4 linked regions of the Oryzias latipes genome follow. The protein of the gene in region 4 interacts with the protein of the main gene of each other region in a pairwise test. Links are inferred from orthologs where the notes say so. Each region holds a gene or a part of one and is shown on either strand. Other genes may lie near its edges.

Region 1 (4,413 bases), on a different chromosome or scaffold from region 4:
CCCTTAGTTTGTATTTCCAAGACAAAAAAAGAAGAAGAAGAACAGAGGGTTAAAAAAAGAGGATAATTCAAGAAAGAAACGTGGAGGAGCCCGCGGAAAAGAGCAACCAGCACAGCGCAGTGGAAAGAGATGCTGCAGGCTTAGACTCTGGCTTTGAGCCGTGAGAGGGTCGCCTCCATTGCAACAACAGTCCTCGCAGCTCCAGCTGGATGATCAAGGATGTAAACTAGACCAAACTCAATGTGAGGATGCGGAGCGGGGCTGAGCGGTCTGCTACAGCATCCATCGGGCGTCCTTTCCGTTCTAATGGATGCTGAGGAAGGGGGGGGGGGGGAGAAAAAAAAGGGGGGGAAAGGAACCAAATTTGCTGCTCAGCGCATCCTAAACAGCCGGATCGGGTAGAACCTGGCGGTTTTAAAGGTGCTGATGTGCGGATTGGATGCAGGTACTCCCTGTCTCCCTTGGCAGCAGCTGCATCCCGGTTCGCTCCCACCACACCGACATGTTTCCCGTCAATCAAAGCCACAGCAACAGCATCGCAGCGCCGCCGTAAGGGGCCGCTCTCGCGTGATCACGGCGCGCTCAAGTGGGTTCTCGTCTGCTGGACGAGAAACGCATCATCTGCGACAAATGATCTTTATTTTTCAGGGTGATATTTCATCAAATTAAACATAATTCAGCAATCTTACTAAAATGCAAACGAAGTGCCTGTTAAACTAAAAGGTTAAACAAAATTTGAAAACATTTTTTAAAACATTTATTGTGTGTACTCACCCAAGTTATTAAATAATGGGGGGGGGGGGGGCATGTTTTACTTATTTATTTATTGTTTTTGGTTGTCGCCTGGTTAGGTAGCTAAATAGTTAACGTCTAAAGCGTATATTCTAAATGAAACGTATTAAAAACCAAACAGATTAAGAAACTTGTGTATTTTTCTATTAATTTAATTTACCTATTTTACGAAATACTTATTGCACAAGTTAGATAGAAATGTATGTACATCAGGGGATTAAATATTGTTTTTTTCCTGTTAAATGCTTTAAAGTCTTATACAAATCTTTAAAATTAGTCTGATTTCCACAGCACATTAATTTTCGTTCTGAAATGTTCAAGAAAATCGGTCAAAAATGTTTTCGCCTACGGATAAATATCAAACTAACACAGAGATTTCTATTTTACAAGATAATCAACTCAAAAATGTTTATAAAATAAACAAAAAACAATTTTAAGCTTTACTTTAGAAAATATTAAAATTCTTCAATTGATATTGTGGTTTTTTTTACAGTTTACCTTCAACATATCACCATGATCCCACCCACCGGAAAGCAAAACGACATTCTGTTGGTGTTACGTCATGACGTTGGCGTGCGTTTCTGTCGCGAGCGCGGCAAAAGGAAGCGACATAGAACAGACGGGGTTTTTCCTCTACTTGCCCGGCTAATAAATAAAGTTACCGGGAGTCATGGCGTCTACGAGTAGGACCCCGTTACAGAGCAGAAACCTGCCATGGTGAGCCGCGACGAACGAGACGTTTGAGAAGCGGCGAGAATGTCGTTGTTGTCTAAGACTAAGCTAGCTGCTCCTTCAAGTTCTTGTTTGTCTCCAGTCAGAGGCTGTGCTTTTTTTTTTTGTTTTGTTTTCTTTTAAGTTTGTTCAGCTTTTTAAAGGCCTACACACTTCTTAAAAAGAAGGGAAAAAAAGAAATATTCTACTAAACAACGTCTTTGTTTTTGTGCTAAAAGTGTTTGTTTTGCATTTCAGGGTAGAAAAATATAGACCACAAAAACTCGATGATTTAATTTCACACAGAGACATCCTGAGCACCAGTAAGTTTGTTCATTTAAGGAAGCAAATCGACTCTGTGGTGTCCAGAGTTCTGAAGGTCTCCATGTCTCTTCAGTCCAGAGGTTCGTCAGAGAGGACCGGCTTCCTCACCTCCTGCTCTACGGGCCTCCTGGAACCGGAAAGACCTCCACCATTCTGGCCTGTGCCCGGCAACTGTACAAGGACAAGGAGTTCAACTCCATGGTGCTGGAGGTACCGTCTCCACTCAGGATCTTTAGTCTGCAGGGATTTTCTCATCTCCAAGGGTCCTGATTCTGATTCTCTTCTGTTCAAGCTGAATGCTTCAGACGACAGGGGTATCGATGTGGTCCGAGGTCCCATCCTGAGTTTTGCCAGCACCAGAACCATCTTCAAGTGAGTCGGTACCGCTCCAGCTCTCTGTGACCTTCTGCAGAGATTCCCTCCAGACAACTCCAAACTCCTTTTTCCTCCCTTTGATCCCCAGGAAAGGCTTCAAGCTGGTGATCCTGGACGAGGCCGATGCCATGACCCAGGATGCCCAGAATGCATTGCGGCGAGGTGAGCCATCTGTTCGCCTAAGTATGGCTTGCTGTGAGCGACACGGCTCACTGGGCAGCCAAATCATTTGGCTGATGATGCATGGGTCTGCATGAAAACACAACCGTTTTCTAAAATAATCCTTTGCATTGATTTTGTTGATTAAAATTTTTTTTTTCATAGGTGTTGAAAGTAGGTTATCGTCAACGATCTCATAAACGAATTAAGATGTTTGCAGATTTTCAAAATAAGACGATTTTAAGTAACTTTATCCCATTGAACTAACGTTTTGGCAGGTAACAGTCTGTCTTTTTATTTTTGTAAACTTCCTGCTGTCTCCCGTACGCCTCAGTGATTGAGAAGTTCACAGAAAACACCCGGTTCTGCCTCATCTGCAACTACCTTTCCAAGATCATCCCCGCCCTGCAGTCCCGGTGCACCAGGTTCCGCTTCGGGCCTCTGTCGGCGGACCAGATGATCCCCCGGCTGAGGCACGTCATTCAGGAGGAGAGGTGAGGAAAACCGGGACCGCTTTCGGCCTCTGAAGTCTCTCACTTTCTGAGTCTGTCAGAAGCATTAAAAACGACTGTGATGTTGACATGAAAAGATGCTTTCAAAGGATTTTTGAAAAATTAGGACTATAAATGGAATGAAAAACTTTACATTCTCGTTTCTGCCATTCGCATTCATCGCTTTTTAAGCTTTTCATTAAGAATCTCTCAGTTTTCTTTTTTTCTTTTTTTGATCCGATTTCACGTTTTTTTATGCTGATACCCGAGTCTCGCTCCAATACTTTTATAACACATTTTAAAAGTTGAATAAACAAATGCAGGTTTTCCCGTTTTTATTCTATTCCCCCTTTATTTTGTCAGAAAAAGAGCACCTCTGTGAACAATTAAGTACAAATAGTGCAACCATCAACTAGAAAAAATAACAAACTATTAACTGGTAAAAATAGTTGATAATTAGTCATGTGAGAAAGTTTGGTGACTGTAGCTTTGGCTCTTCAGAGCTTTTTGGATCAGATGTGATTTTTTTTTTTTTACTTTGGGAAAAAGAAATACCCATTTTTTTAAAAGGCATGAATATGATGAGTATTTATGACTTAACTTATATAAACAGAACCATTTATGTATTTGTGTTGTTTTTGAGAGTTTATTATCTTCTGATCACTTTTTCACAGAGCTTTCTTTTTGTAGACGGTCCCTTAGCAGCTCTTTTCACTGCCGTTTCTCTCTTTAATTCTCCGTATTTGAAAAACACATCGCATTTTTCTTTAAAGGTCATCGTTTACGTTAAGACAAACCAATAGAGACACTTGCTGTCAGTTTCAAATGTTAATTAAAAGAATTTTGAAACCTAGAAGTCCAAATATCCTTCAGACTTTACCAAACTGTGTTTGTGCGCCTCCCGCTCAAGCTAGTGCCATGTTTTTGCTGCGTTTTAGGGCAATAAGATGTTGTGATCCGTCCATGAGATGCAGACGTCTAGTACAGGATTTATCTGTAAAAATAAGCTTTAAATGCATAGCGCTGATCATAATAATTTTCCTCTTTAAACTTCCTTTTGGCCTTTAATGAGCTGAATCTTGTCTGGTAGCATCGACATCACCGAGGATGGGATGAAGGCCATCGTGACTTTATCGTCCGGCGACATGAGGAGGTCGCTGAACGTCCTGCAGGTGGGACCTCCTCACTCCTCCTGCCGGGATGTTCTCCAGCAGAGAGGAAAGACTTTTCGTGTCCTTTCAGAGCACCAGCATGGCGTACGGGAAGGTGACGGAGGACTCCGTGTACACCTGCACGGGACAGCCGCTCCGCTCGGACATCGCTAACATCCTCGACTGGTGCCTCAACAAAGACTTCACCTCGGCTTACAAACGTATCCTTCCATCAAACCCACATACAGAGCTGGAACCGCTCTTTTAGAAATCTAGACTTTCATCCGTTAGATCAGTGATCCCAAACCTTTTTTGGCCTCCAACGTTTAACGTCGGACTATGGTCGTGTCCGAATTCCTTCCCCTTTGTAGAGCTGTCCGAATCTACAATTCCCAAATCCAGTGTCCTGG
Region 2 (4,594 bases), on a different chromosome or scaffold from region 4:
TGCTGAATATCAGGCCTCTGCTGACTGGCATGCATTCTTGTGTCAGGCCTGGTTCCCTCAGCACTGGTAACTCAAAGCATAACATCAAATTAATGAAGCAAATTATAATAAAGTAAGCTGAAACGTGTTAATCAATTTTATGTTCAAATGTGTGTGTGAAAAAGAAATCTAAAAGTATATGCGAAAAGATATAGTGAACGGATATATGTAGGGTGCGGTGCAGGAGGTTACTGCTCTGATGGGGTGGCAGCGTAGGCAGCCATCACACACTTCCTGCAGCTCCCCTGGGAGAATCCCAAGGCGAGCAGAGAGACGTAGTCCCTCAAACGTGTCCTGGGTCTTTCCCAGGTCTCCGCCCAGTGGGAAATGCCCGGAACACCTCCCCAGGGAGGAGTCCAGGAGACATCTGGATGCTTTTGGTTTTAAGCAGCTTTGAATGGGCTTGGTTGATTTCAACTTGTTAAAAAAATTCTCTTCAAATTGTAAAGCAAAGTGGTTTCAGTGAACAAAAAACCTTTGAAGTACATTTGACTTGAATGATTGACATCAGAGAGGAAAACCATGATCCGTGTTTTACCATCAACATTTAAAGCTCAACACTGTCTAATGTGGTTTTGTAATATCCAAAACATACAATATATAGTGTGTCTCATTCAAAAAAATATGTGTGAGTGAGTGTAAATTAAGCAGTTTTATAATTTTTAGATTCATATTCTTGTTGTTTTTTTTTTGTTTTATAAATTTCACTCACAGATTTCTGCAAAAGCTCCACACCAACCATGAAAAGTTATTAATTTTTAGGCAAAGTTAATAATCTAAATATTTTCATTCATGCAACCAATTTGAGAACAGCTTTTACTTTGAAAGACCTGTCACAGAGGCCATCAGTTCTACAGATTACAGCATCTACTGACTTATTCTGCGTTTACCAGAACAACAGGTTGGTTTTTAGTCTTCCTGAAGGGGCTATTTTTCATTTTTGTTAAATCAAACTCAAGGATTCAGCAGCAACTTTTGACAATATCACCAACCTGAAGGAACACACCGTGTCCGTCATTGACTACATTAAGAAATGTGTGGATGATGTGACAGTGGTCAAGACCGTCAGGAAGAAATCAAATTGCAAACCATGACTAACAGGAGACGTTTGTTCCTTGTTGAGAGCTTGGAACATGGCTTTTAAATAAGGAGATGCAGCAGCGTACAGTCTGGCAAGGACGAACCTGTCACAGGGGATTAGAGGGGCAAAGAAGCTGTACACACAAAAACTGAACAGCCACTTCATGTGTGAGAAAGAGACAATATGCCGGAACAACCGCCCTTTACCCCTTGTGCTATCCCATGGGGTCCAGATGACCCCACCCTTACATTGACGTGTTCTCCCTACCATGACAAAGGTGGATAAAGGCAGAAAGATTTCATGTAATCCATGGACACCAGTCGAGATCACAAATTTAGCGCACTGTCTTGTGGGGTCTAGATGACCCCACTACCAATGTTAAAGTGCCAAGGATAGCACAAGGGTTACCAGAGGAACTGAACAACTTCTACGCATGGTTTGATGTTTACAGCACCATCCAGGCACAGATGCTGCTGCTGTGATCCAGCAACACAGCATTACAGCCATCAACCGCAAAGCGGCTGGCCCGGACAACATCCCTGGACAGGCTCTGAAAGACTGCATGGAGCAATTGAAAGATTTATTCAGCGAGATCTTTAACACATCACTCAGACAGGAATTTATACCCACCTGTCTTTAAACTGCTGTCATTACTCCAGTCCCAAAGATGTCTGATCCAAACGTATTTTGCCCCGTGGCCTTCACACCCATTGTGACCAAATGTCTTGTGCGCTTGGTTCTGAAGCACATCAAGAAGAGTCTTCCAATAAATATGGACCCTTTACAACTTGCATCTTCAGTAAATAGATTTACTGAAGATGCCATCTCCACTGCTCTCCACCTGATCCTGTCACATCTGGAGAGGAAAAACACCTATGCTAGAGTCCTCTTCATCGACTTCAGCTCGGCTTTTAACACCATCATTCCACAGCAACTGGTGGAGAAGCTGAAGGCAATCTGCAATTGGATGCTGAGTTTACTGACAGACGGGCTGCAGACAGTCAAGATCAACACACACATCAAGGCCCATGTCATCGAGCACAGGCACACCACAAGGGTGTGTCCTGAGCCCACTGCTGTTCAGTCTGCTCACGCATGACTGCACAGCTAGGTACAGCACCAACCACATTGTCAAATTTACGGACGGCACAACAGTAATTGGTCTCATAAACGACAATGATGAGTCTGCTTACAGAATGGAGGTGGGGCAGCTAGCAGTGTGGTGTGAATGACATAATCTCCAGATCAATGGTGATCGACTTCAGGGCATCTGGCAATTACCACAACACACATCCGACCATAAATGGTGTTGCTGTGGAGAAGTTCCTGGGGGTGCATCTCACTCCAACTCCACTCCTCCAACTCCAAAATGACCACCAGAAAAGCACAAAAGCCTCCATCCCCTCCAGAGACTCAAGAAGGCAGGAATTCCAACACCTCGCCTCATCACCTTCTACAACGGCACCAATGAAAACGTGTTGACACAGAGCCTTACATGCTGGTTTGGCAGCTGCAAGGTTCAGGACCAACAACCGGTCAGCGAGATTGTTGGAGCCCATACCACCATACGCAGAGTAAGCTTCCTCATTAGGGACCCTCCGCTTCTCTGTCATGGGGTGTTCTTCCTTATGCCATCTGGGAAAAGGTTCAAGAGTATCAGCAGCAGATCCAGCGGGATAGTAAAATCTTCTTTTCACAAGCAGTGAGACTGCTACATAGACTGTCCTCCTCCTGCATACATGCTCTCACAAACTCCACACCGCAATCAGACCCAATAAACTACCCCCACCCTCTGCACCACCCAAAGACACAATATATACTGCTGCTAAATGCAGATACTAACTTTAAGGATTGAATGCTGGTTTCTATTTTTTTGACATTTTATTTTAGTTGATTGCTATTTTATTCTATTTTATTGCTATATTTTCTTTTGCACTGTCATATTAGTGAGGAAAAACATCTGGTCTCACCTGTGTATTCCTCTGCAAATACTATGAGTGAAATAAATGACAATACATTAATCTGGAATTCAAGCATTCAAGGATTTTATTTGGTATTATTTAACCACAGGGTGAATTCAAATTTGTTGATCTGGTCCCAGCCAATTAAAGTGGAAATATGCCAAGTAGAAAACAACAAGAAATGTATATATAAATCCCTTACATCGGTAACATGAGTACAGATCCTATCGAATATTGGATAAATGTAGTATTGTGGCACTTTACTGGGACTTTCACAAAAAGATGCAAGAACAGAAATCAACAATTAAACCACAGCAGGAAAATGACATGTTAATAAAAAAACAATGCAACTTGGTAAGAAGAAAAACAATTGATAAGATGCCAAACAAGAGCTTTAAACTCAGGGTGAAATGAACTAGTGTTGACTTATCAAACACAAACTCACAGCTGGTTCCTGGATACTTCCTTCCTTCCTGGTCCAGGAAATACCAGGAACAAGGACTTTGAGCTAAGAAAAGTAGAGGAGAAGAAAGTCATCTGAGAAAAGAGCTCTGCGAGGTTCACACTCGGAAATCCCAAAATGCCAGGTGATCTAGAATAATCCAGCCTTGATTGGTAAATCTGGAGAATTACACAAACACATTTAAAAAATGTTGCTGCAACTAAAAGGCTCCATTCTTTGGTAATCCCCAGGTTCCGCACAGCGACTCCAAAGTAATCAGGATGTTTGAAATGATGAAGAACTCTGATTTCCTGGCTCCTCACAGCAGGAGTTGATATCAAAACAGAGCAGACGAACGGTCCAATTCTTCAGTGAAAAGGATTGGAGTTTTGGAAAAGTGAGGTAAAAACATTCCACGTTCCAGGATTGAATGCAGACTGGTGCTACAGAGAAAAGGGAAAAACTCAAGGACTTTCCAGTTTGGGTTTACTGGTTGCTCTCCGGAGCTTCTGTCAAAGCTGTCCTGTGATGCAGCAGCAGCTGGTAGTACAACGCCCCCCGGTGGTCTCACGTGGGAAATCTGCCTTTAATCTGCCAGGGGCCATTTTGAAGCAGAGATAACACGTCTGACTGGTGGGAGTCAAGTGTGAGACACAAACAAGGAGGAAGCCAAAACACAGATAGATACACTAAATGATGAAAAAGCCTCCTAACCTGAAATGTATCTTTCCTAAAAATTAGTTTTAAACATTTGAATTGTTCCTGTTTAAACAATTGACTCTTTAATTAAAGTATGCATATAAATGAGAGTTACAGACTATTTTTGCTTCAAAATAGAAAAGCATTAAAAAGGGGAGGAGCAGAAAGTGAATACAACACAATCATTTTTTTTTACTTGTATTAGATTTGAAGCAATTGACATAATTTCAACAAGATTATTAGAAAACCGTTTATTTGCTTTATGGAATATTATTCCAGTATTTCAGCAATAAAACTCCGTTTTATTGCTGAAATGTGTCTGTGATTCGACTGAAATTATGTTCTGTGATTTCTATTTAGGATTATAAATTC
Region 3 (4,645 bases), on a different chromosome or scaffold from region 4:
TTTTGGACAGTGGGAGGAAGCTGGAGTCCCTCGAGAAAACCCACACATGCAAGGGGAGAACATGCAAACTCCACACAGTGTCAACAATGTCCCCTGTTGTTGTTGTTGTTGTTCTGTTTTCAGGTGCCCCAGGTGGGACTTGAACAGAGAGCCTTCTTGCTGTGAGGCAAGACTGCTAACCACTGCGCCACCTTGCAGCCCAACTTGGATAATGCTCTTAAGATTTTTGAATATTTGTTAGTTTAGAAGTTTAGGTTGAGTCTAAATGCTACAACATGTACATAGATTTTATCCTAATTTGATAAGATTTTTCTTACTGTTAGTGTTCATTGTTTATATCAGTGTTTATCGAAAGAAATTATTAGTCAAGGAAAGGTAAATTGACAGAACTCATTAAACAAGCATAGATAAGACTTATCCATATAAATATCACACAAACAGTAAAAAATATGTCAGTACACAAGACTGGAAAATTAAGGGGAAAATGCTTTAATTGATTCATTTTTGTAGCACATGATTTTTCAGCTTTGGTATACAGTTATAAAGGAAAAAATAGATATATTATGTGGGAAAAACACTATTTCTATCACATGCGACTTTTTAATTTCAATCCTAATATAGTGATGCTATCCAGTGCTTATTAAGTACAGCTTAACAGGGGTGTAATTATTTAAGTTTACTTCCTCCTTCTGATTTTCAAGCAATTAAACTCTTCCTGACACTCTTCACTTTTAATGAATGGAATGTGTCATGTACTGTATGGATGAATGCAAATTGATCTATTTAAGATTGAGAGTCAATATAATGGCATCATTTATATGTGTATCCTCTTTCACTTTTTAGTTTTTTACTTTCCAATTTGATTATGACTCATCATCTTAGGTTTGGTAATTCTATATGTTATATGCCGTGTATTTATATACTCTGATCCCTTGAAATAAGCCAGTTTCAACCCAAAAATTCAAAAGAAATTATTTTAGGATTGGCTTGAAGCAGATAACATGACAAGCAGATGTAAACAGGTAAAAAACCTAAATGTCCATCATCAGTCAGAGCTAAAGAAGCTATTCAGATCAGCTGCCAAACATAATCTAGATCAACTTTTAAGGCTACCAAAACATCTACTATTACTAAAAATAAACATTTCAATATAACGTTGAGACAAATTTAAATTTATAAATATGTTTAGTAACTTAAACAAAGATGGAGGTCACATTTAGTTGAGCAGGAATGGGATTATTTCAAAACACTGCAGCTCGGAAAAAAGAAAAAAGAAATCACAGAAGTAAAAAAAGTAAATAAACAAACACACAAACAAACAAACAAATAGATAAATAAAGTAATTAAAAAAATGTACATATCTATTGCCTAATAATTTGAATATAACTTTTTATTCACCGTTAGAACAAGCTGGACAAACTAAAACGGTGGTAATTTTGTATAATAGGATAATAAAATATTAGTAAATCCTTAGTAAAATAAAAACCAACAAGTTAACTGTAAATTTCGATAGATACACTTACAAAACACGTTTTTACATTGCATCAGAAATGTGAGCATCCGCAGAAAGGCCGTTGTGATTTATATTTAGTACTCATTGTGACCAGCAGGGGGCAGTAACTACAGCGCATCGATAAATCCAGTAGAAGAAGAAAAAAGCAGACGAAGAAGACGACAGTGACGGTTGGCTTCCGCGAGCGGTGAGTTTCTCGTTCCATAATTTTGAAGGCATTTTTGTCAATCTATTTAAAGTACAGTTTAGAAATGTCCACATAAATCCTCGGGTATTATATGCTAGACTGTTGACACAGAATGCTACAGGAATTATTAGCTAAAAATGAACCAAATCCAATGAAGAACACGCGCGAATCTAAAAGAAATACAGTAAAAAGAAAAAAAAACGATTATAAAAACAACATTTCTGCGATAATAGATGAACGACTTCTGTTTGTTTAATTCGGCGCGGAGAAATGAAGGATTGAGTGAAAATAAAGTAATTTTACAAGCTAATAAACAGTCATAATTCCTACAAATATAAATAATAATTTTTTAAAATTATAAAGTAAACCATGAGTGGTCACACGACAACATATTCACAAATAAAACTGCCACAATATGACAATAGAAAACAGCTTACAACAACATCTTAATTTAACCAAACTGTAATGTATTGAAATATGAGGTTAATCTTTGAAATCCCTCTGATTCAAAAGGCTTCAGGTCAAAGGTCACAGCAGACAAACAACTCCGTCCCGTCTCTGTTTTTATGTTTATTTATCTCCCAGTCAGACAATAGTAAGAAATAAAGCTGTGCAGACCTTCAGACTGAGAAGGAGCTGGACTACTGTGATGACGCACAGGCCCTATCAGGAAGAGATAAACAGACACAAGCCCACCCAGCTCCCCCACCCCAGACACGCCCACCCGCCTGTCCGTCAGCACGTCCGCGTCCTGAAATGATTTTGGGTTTGATCCGTGTACAGGAATCTCTGAACGTGTAGAAAATCGGGATTTTGACTTCTTTTCCGATCTTCACATTTAGGAAAGAAATCGTTTTTTGTTTGTTATTTTTAATCTAAAAGTCATTTGGATAAAGAAATCCTCAGAATAAACTCAGTTTTCTTTCTATACGTCATCATCATCAACGGAAAAATGCCACAAGGACAAGTTTAAAACAAGATTTTCATCAGAAAGGGTCCTTAAACTGTCCTTTATAAACCTGGAGTAAATACATTAAAACACACAAACCAAGAATTTAAAGCAAATATTGAACTTATACTGGTTTAAACGATAAGACATCGACATTCCTCAACAAACCAGAACATTATGAGCAAATTCAGATTCAGCCGATGGACTGGAACGTTTTTTATTTTAATGATGTATTTACAGGGCTCCGTAAGTTATTTTTTGGAAATGTGGGGAGTGTATAGCAGTTAAACATCTAATCGTGTTATTTTTTCTGTGTTTTTTACATAAACATTCATAAATACTTTTAAAAAATGCTGTTTTTGTGTGTTTCAGGGGGACAATGAGGTTCCTGATGGTGTTTGATTTCGACCACACTCTGGTGGATGAAAACAGCGACCTGTGGGTGGTCAGGTCGGTCACCAAAGGCTTCCTTTTCTGTAAACTGGAGGAGAACATTCTGTTTCATGATGTCTTCTTTGTCCTCAGGTGTCTTCCGGACGGGCGCCTTCCTGCCTCCATCGAGAATTCCCACCGGGGGGGTCTCTGGATGGAGTACATGTGCAGGGTGATGAAGTTCATCGGTGAGCGCCGGCCGTGCCGCTCGTCCGGCGCTCCGCGTCTTTGGTTTCTGACCTCGGCTTGTCTTTGCGCGCAGGAGATCAGGGTATCGGCCCGGACCGCATCCGGAGCGTGATGGAGACCATCCCCTTCGCCGACGGCATGGCGGACCTGCTGGCGTTTATTTCGGAGAACAAAAGCGCCGTGGACTGCATCGTCATCTCAGACGCCAACTCCTTGTTCATAAACTGGGTTCTGCAGGCTGCCGGGCTTGGCGAGGCGGTCGATAAAGTTTTCACCAACCCGGCGGCGTTCAACGAGGCGGGGCACATGGAGGTGCGCCGCCATCACTCTCACGACTGCAGCGAGTGCCCCCCCAACATCTGCAAGAGGAAGGTCTTGGAGCGGTACCTGTCCGAGCGGGCCGAGGAAGGCGTGCGGTACGAGCGCGTCTTCTACGTGGGCGACGGTAGCAACGACCTGTGCCCCTCCTTCTGCTTGAGAGCGCAGGACGCCGTGATGCCCCGCCGGGACTTCACGCTGCTGAAGCTGCTGGCCCGGCTGGAGGCCCAGCCGGGAGAGATCTCGGTGGCGGCCAAAGTGGTTCCCTGGAGCAGCGGCGCCGACGTCCTGCAGGAGCTCAAAGCAAGCATGCAGTCCGAATAACGGAGCAGAAGAAGTCCTGGAGGCAGCGCTCCGTCCAGAACCGAGCAGAAGAAGTCCTGGAAGAAGCGCTCCGTCCAGAACCGAGCAGAAGAAGTCCTGGAAGAAGCGCTCCGTCCAGAACTATGCTCTACAATTTGAAGCACATTTATTGTCGCCAGGTTCTGAGAAGGGATCATTTATTTGTTGGGAATTTTACATTTTTGACCAGCTGAGTGATCCGACTCTGAGTTTCCAGAGGGAAATTAGCTCTAAACAACCTTATGCTCATTTCTAGAAAGGATTGTTGCTTGAAAAGAGCTGATTTATTCAGTCTTCCTGCAGCTTCTAAAAAAAAAAAAAAAGAATTTTAGTTTTATGGGAAAAAAAATGATTAAAAAAGAAAAATGTAAATCAGAAAAAAAACTTTTTTTGACTTTTAAAATCAGCTTTTGCAGAATCAAAGATGGGAGCAGACAAACTTAAAATACTACCATCAAATCTAAACCTAGAGAACCTTCTGGAACCATGTTCTTCTGCAGAGAAGTTTACTTTCACGTTTCATTTGATGATGTATTCAAAAAGATTTTAACATGAGTTTGAATTTTACAGAAAAAAAGGGATTCTCCTCCTTCAATACTAGTTTTCATGTCAGACTTTTGACAGAGCTGCAGCTGCACTTTAAACGGGAACATTTGGTCACTGTTTTGTTTTTAGCTATTTAAATCGTTTAATTTATTTTTCTTTCTATTTTAAT
Region 4 (4,228 bases):
CAAAGAGATTTCCTGTTTTTTTGTCAAAAACAGCCTCTTTGTCTGGACGGGTAAAGAGTTTCCTGTTCTTCTTCTTGCAGATCAAATGACGAGAACAGCAGCCTCTGTCAGAAGAGACTAAGACACCAGGTGAGAAAAGATCTTCATCTCACCTGATAAAAGCTCTGCTCCAAACATTTAAAGACACAATGACCTGCTTCATCTGATGATGATTTCCAAGGTGATCGTGTCCGAGAGCGCATCCCCGCTCCTCGGAGCAGAGGGATCCGAGAGCTCCACCCACAGAGCGGATGATGACAGCTTGTCTGCAGAAAATCTAGACTGTGCACCTCATGGTAACGGCATGTTCACAAACAGGAGAAAATAACGTCGAAACTCCACTTTGAACTCAAATCTGTTCGTCCTGCTAGACGCCAGAACACAGAGCAACCACTCTCCATCACCACGACCCCTCACTGACACCTCCAACCCTGCCAGCTGGAGCCGCCATCTCATACAGCAGACCTTAATGGACGAAGGGCTGCGATTGGCCAGGATGGTGTCACATGATCGAGCAGGAAAGCTGGGTCTTGGGTTAGAAGGTCCTCACACAACAGGTGACTTTTCAAAATTTGGTTTTACCTATAAAGGACTCAGAATAAATGTGTATAAACCCAGAGAACTACGAGCAATTTTCTTCTGGATTTTTAAAGTTAATATGACCTTTGTTTTTTTTTTGCTTAATTATTTTGAATAGCAGCAATAAGCAAAAAAACAAACTGGGGCTAAATACGACCCAGGGTTAAATATTTCCATGTTGTTTAAGAAATGAAGTTATGGCCGACAAATGTGAACAAAAACATGAATCATATGATCTAATACACATGAAATAAACGGTATTTCTAAAATGTCAAGGCGGGTTGAATACTAAAGGTGGTTCAGGTGAAGCAGGTTTACTCTGACAGACAGGCCGACCTTTCTAAACAATGTTTATTTAGTAGTTGTGCAGTTTCAGGCTCAGTGAGTCACAATCTCTCTGAGGTGACACCTCCCACCACGGGCAGCTGAACTCCACCAGACTGTAAATTAGAGGATATTTTCTATGGAGGGGGGGCAAGAGGAGGTGGAGAAAAAAAGAGTGTGACAAGCAGGATAGAAAGAGTAAGGGGGGGGGGGGGGGTGTTACACTGTAATAGCAGCTCTTGGGGCGGCTGTTACTTCAGTGCAGCATCACAGAAAAGTGAACGTTTGGAGGAAGTTGTTCTGGGCTGAAGAGATGCAGTGAAGAAGGCACAGACGTTAAAGGAAGGGGGGGTAGGAAGTACTCTGTGGGCGACAGAATTACCCCCCCCTCCCCATCCTTCACCATGTGATTGACGTCAGAGTGTGTTAGGCGCGTGGGCTGAAGGGCGGGAGGGATGGGGCGTGGGGGCGACGGAGTGGGCGGTAATTGGAGGGGCGTTGCATTGACTCACCAAGCGACAGCGTACAAAAATAAAACCCGTGGGCAGAAAAATGGCACATTCTTCCTTATACGTCTTCTTCTACCTAAAGAACTGTGGAAATAAAATAAAACTGACATATGCTTCATCTTTGGCATCCATCTGCCTGCCTCCCTGTCAGGTTTCGGTCACCTCATCACCCCTTCAAGTTTCTATCGTTTATCTGAACTTTTTCCTTCCAACGTCACTTTTTCCAGCCAAAAAAATGTCTTTTATCTTCCTATATTTTATATTTTTATCTTTAGAAGCTTTGACTTTTGTTTTAAATGTTTTTGTTGATGTCAGCAAGAGAACATGTGTTTTAAACAGGAACTTTCAGAATAAAATAAAGGGAAGTAATAACTTTTGGTGCAGTTTGATCCAAAACAGTGAAATACTTGTAAAAAATGTGTTTTTATTTCTTGATGCTCATGCAGTGAAATGACAGACATTGTTTGTAAATGCACACTCAAACATCCGCGTTTGCTTAATTAATGGTTTTCCTGCTTGATCATCCAAAGATTCATTTAACTCTGCAATAAGGGAAGCAGTTAGTTATGCTGTTTGTGTAAACAGTGATTTCACTTCGTGTAGGAGTTCTTCCTGTTCTTTCACCCAAACCATCTTTCAGAGCTCCTAAAATACGGGTTACGTCCTGATTACCTCTGAACTGGCACTTATCCTCTTCCTCCCGGGGGTTCATTCGGTCCCCTTCGTCACAGCAGATTTCCACATTGATCAGGTCTTTGACATTAATTGTCCTTTCTATTCTTGAAATCTTTAGACCATGACAGTAAACCGGAGCGGCAGAGTTTGTTAACGGCGTGTAGGAGCAGTAGCCCCTGTGTCACCAAAGACTCACCCACCAGCTGCCACCCCCGGGGGAAATGAAGCGCTCTGCACTCATCGGGGAACTTGTGTTTGGGCGTCCACTCTAATCCCGCCGTCCCACGGAGAGGTGCAACTCGTCCTTCGCCGACGTGCGGCGGACAGGGGCTTTCAATTCAAGTCAAAACAGTAAATGTGAGAATTTACCAGCATCACATGTTGTTGACAAATGATGCAAATTTGATGTTTTAATATGTAGAAGGATAGTAAACACTTATCAGGTTTGAGTTCACTAATTTAGCCATTCAAAGAGGGAATCGTAGACGTTTGGCGGTTCCAGCTGCTCGACACGACACCGAAAGGTTTTTCAGTCACTTTCAGCATGTAACTTGTAATGTCTTTACTCTCAGGAAACACATTGATGTTCTGTTCTTGTTAGAGGTCAGTGTAGTGAGCTCAGGTTAATCTATGTAGTCATTTAGAAAAAGAAGTATTTGGACCAGACATATAAAAAACAGCACAAAGATCAGAGGTTTTTGGTTCTGCACTTGCCTTTTCAAACACACTTAGGTTAATAAAATTGCCAGGCCATCCTTCCTTTTCACGGTCGTTTTACTCCCATCTTCAGTTAAACCAGGGATGTCCAAACCTTTTGCAAAGAGGGCCAACAATTCACCCTGAACGATTTTAATAACTTTAAATGCAAATTAACTATTTATGAATATTTTATTGCATTGGCATACTTTCCATTTCTTCATATTGAAAAGAAAACACATCTAGATAGGTTTTTACCTAAATTACTGCCAATTTGTCCACTTTTGGCACAGTTTATTCCCAATTAGCTTGTTGTAGATAGCATAGTTAGTCCCTTTTCATATTGAACCCCTTGACAACAGTCACAGTCTCTTGGTATATTAGCCACACACGGTTGTTTCATATTTCACAAAATTTTTTTGCTAATTTCCCGTCTGACTGGAAGTCGTGTCCCTCACCGTCAACTTTTAAAAGAATGTAGAATTGACATTTTAGAAATAATTAGAAGGTGTCACAGAAGGGTCCCACCACAGTACCCCAACCAGTTTACAACGGGTTACAACTAATTTAGCCGACCACAATCAAGAAAGTTTTTTGAAAATATTATTGAGTTTATGACAGGAGCATGTGTTTGGCTTAAGGGTTGGACTTTGGACATGCCTGACTTAATCAAAGTGGGTTTTTTTCTTAGAAAACTATCTACTGCTTCTTGTTTAACCCTTGTGCTATCCTAGGCACTTTAACATTGGGCGTTGGGTCATCTAGATCAGTGTTTTTCAACCTTTTCTGAGCCACGGCACACTTTAACCTTAAAAAAATCCCGCGGCACACCAGCATCCAAAAAAAAAAAAAAAGGAGAAACTCAGTCTATATTGATCTACAACCCCTCCCTCCACAGTCTCACATGCATTTTTGAGATAATTGTTGCAGAAAAAGCTGGAAACTGCAGCTGTTTTTTTCTAAAAGATGCAATAAAAGTTAAGTTAGAAGATTTAAAAACAGTTTGAAGTGTGTTCGTTGGTTTCAAGACGTTTAACAACAGATATCCTTGTGCTCACAACCCAATGCATCATGGGAGATGTAGTGCATAAAACGGCCGGCGGAGATCGCTTTTCGGAGCTTCATTGTTTTGTTCACTTGTTCCACGGTCTGATACCGGACTCTGTGGAAAGCTACACCGCTAAAGACGAGCTTTAGCTGGTATTTTTGTTAGAACTGAGCGACTTTACGAGCTAGATCGGGACAAGGAAGTGAAGACTTTAACCACTTCTGATTGGTCAGACTGATGACATGTGATTAAGCTCCCCAAGAATGATTGGTGGAGACAGTTAAAGCAACGGGACTATTCCAAAAAACAGCCGGAGCTGCAGCTGAATCGTGGTAACGTCATTCTTATCAAAATGTCT

Evidence for each region.
Region 1: the proteins of NGFI-A-binding protein 2 (region 4) and rfc5 interact in binary tests that used the Homo sapiens proteins (3 or more experiments, as listed by UniProt). The link is inferred for Oryzias latipes from reciprocal best matches to the Homo sapiens genes NAB2 and RFC5.
Region 2: the proteins of NGFI-A-binding protein 2 (region 4) and PHD finger protein 1 interact in binary tests that used the Homo sapiens proteins (3 or more experiments, as listed by UniProt). The two-hybrid records come from large-scale screens. The link is inferred for Oryzias latipes from reciprocal best matches to the Homo sapiens genes NAB2 and PHF1.
Region 3: the proteins of NGFI-A-binding protein 2 (region 4) and pyridoxal phosphate phosphatase PHOSPHO2 interact in binary tests that used the Homo sapiens proteins (3 or more experiments, as listed by UniProt). The two-hybrid records come from large-scale screens. The link is inferred for Oryzias latipes from reciprocal best matches to the Homo sapiens genes NAB2 and PHOSPHO2.

Annotation. Positions count from the first base shown.
Region 1 is NC_019867.2:3,442,180-3,446,592, forward strand, and holds the start of rfc5 (replication factor C subunit 5), read left to right. Parts: upstream 1-1,321; 5' UTR 1,322-1,462; coding exon 1,463-1,509; intron 1,510-1,761; coding exon 1,762-1,826; intron 1,827-1,900; coding exon 1,901-2,037; intron 2,038-2,119; coding exon 2,120-2,199; intron 2,200-2,290; coding exon 2,291-2,364; intron 2,365-2,695; coding exon 2,696-2,855; intron 2,856-3,942; coding exon 3,943-4,024; intron 4,025-4,094; coding exon 4,095-4,224; intron 4,225-4,413. UniProt on the Homo sapiens protein: Subunit of the replication factor C (RFC) complex which acts during elongation of primed DNA templates by DNA polymerases delta and epsilon, and is necessary for ATP-dependent loading of proliferating cell nuclear antigen (PCNA) onto primed DNA.
Region 2 is NC_019874.2:28,769,767-28,774,360, forward strand, and holds the start of PHD finger protein 1, read left to right. Parts: upstream 1-1,502; 5' UTR 1,503-3,668; intron 3,669-3,774; 5' UTR 3,775-3,925; intron 3,926-4,594. UniProt on the Homo sapiens protein: Polycomb group (PcG) that specifically binds histone H3 trimethylated at 'Lys-36' (H3K36me3) and recruits the PRC2 complex. Involved in DNA damage response and is recruited at double-strand breaks (DSBs).
Region 3 is NC_019861.2:34,327,077-34,331,721, reverse strand, and holds the start of pyridoxal phosphate phosphatase PHOSPHO2, read left to right. Parts: upstream 1-1,553; 5' UTR 1,554-1,700; intron 1,701-3,021; 5' UTR 3,022-3,028; coding exon 3,029-3,099; intron 3,100-3,174; coding exon 3,175-3,269; intron 3,270-3,343; coding exon 3,344-3,912; 3' UTR 3,913-4,645. UniProt on the Homo sapiens protein: Phosphatase that has high activity toward pyridoxal 5'-phosphate (PLP).
Region 4 is NC_019863.2:27,732,759-27,736,986, reverse strand, and holds the end of NGFI-A-binding protein 2, read left to right. Parts: intron 1-80; coding exon 81-129; intron 130-220; coding exon 221-335; intron 336-410; coding exon 411-596; intron 597-2,244; coding exon 2,245-2,351; 3' UTR 2,352-3,567; downstream 3,568-4,228. UniProt on the Homo sapiens protein: Acts as a transcriptional repressor for zinc finger transcription factors EGR1 and EGR2. Isoform 2 lacks repression ability.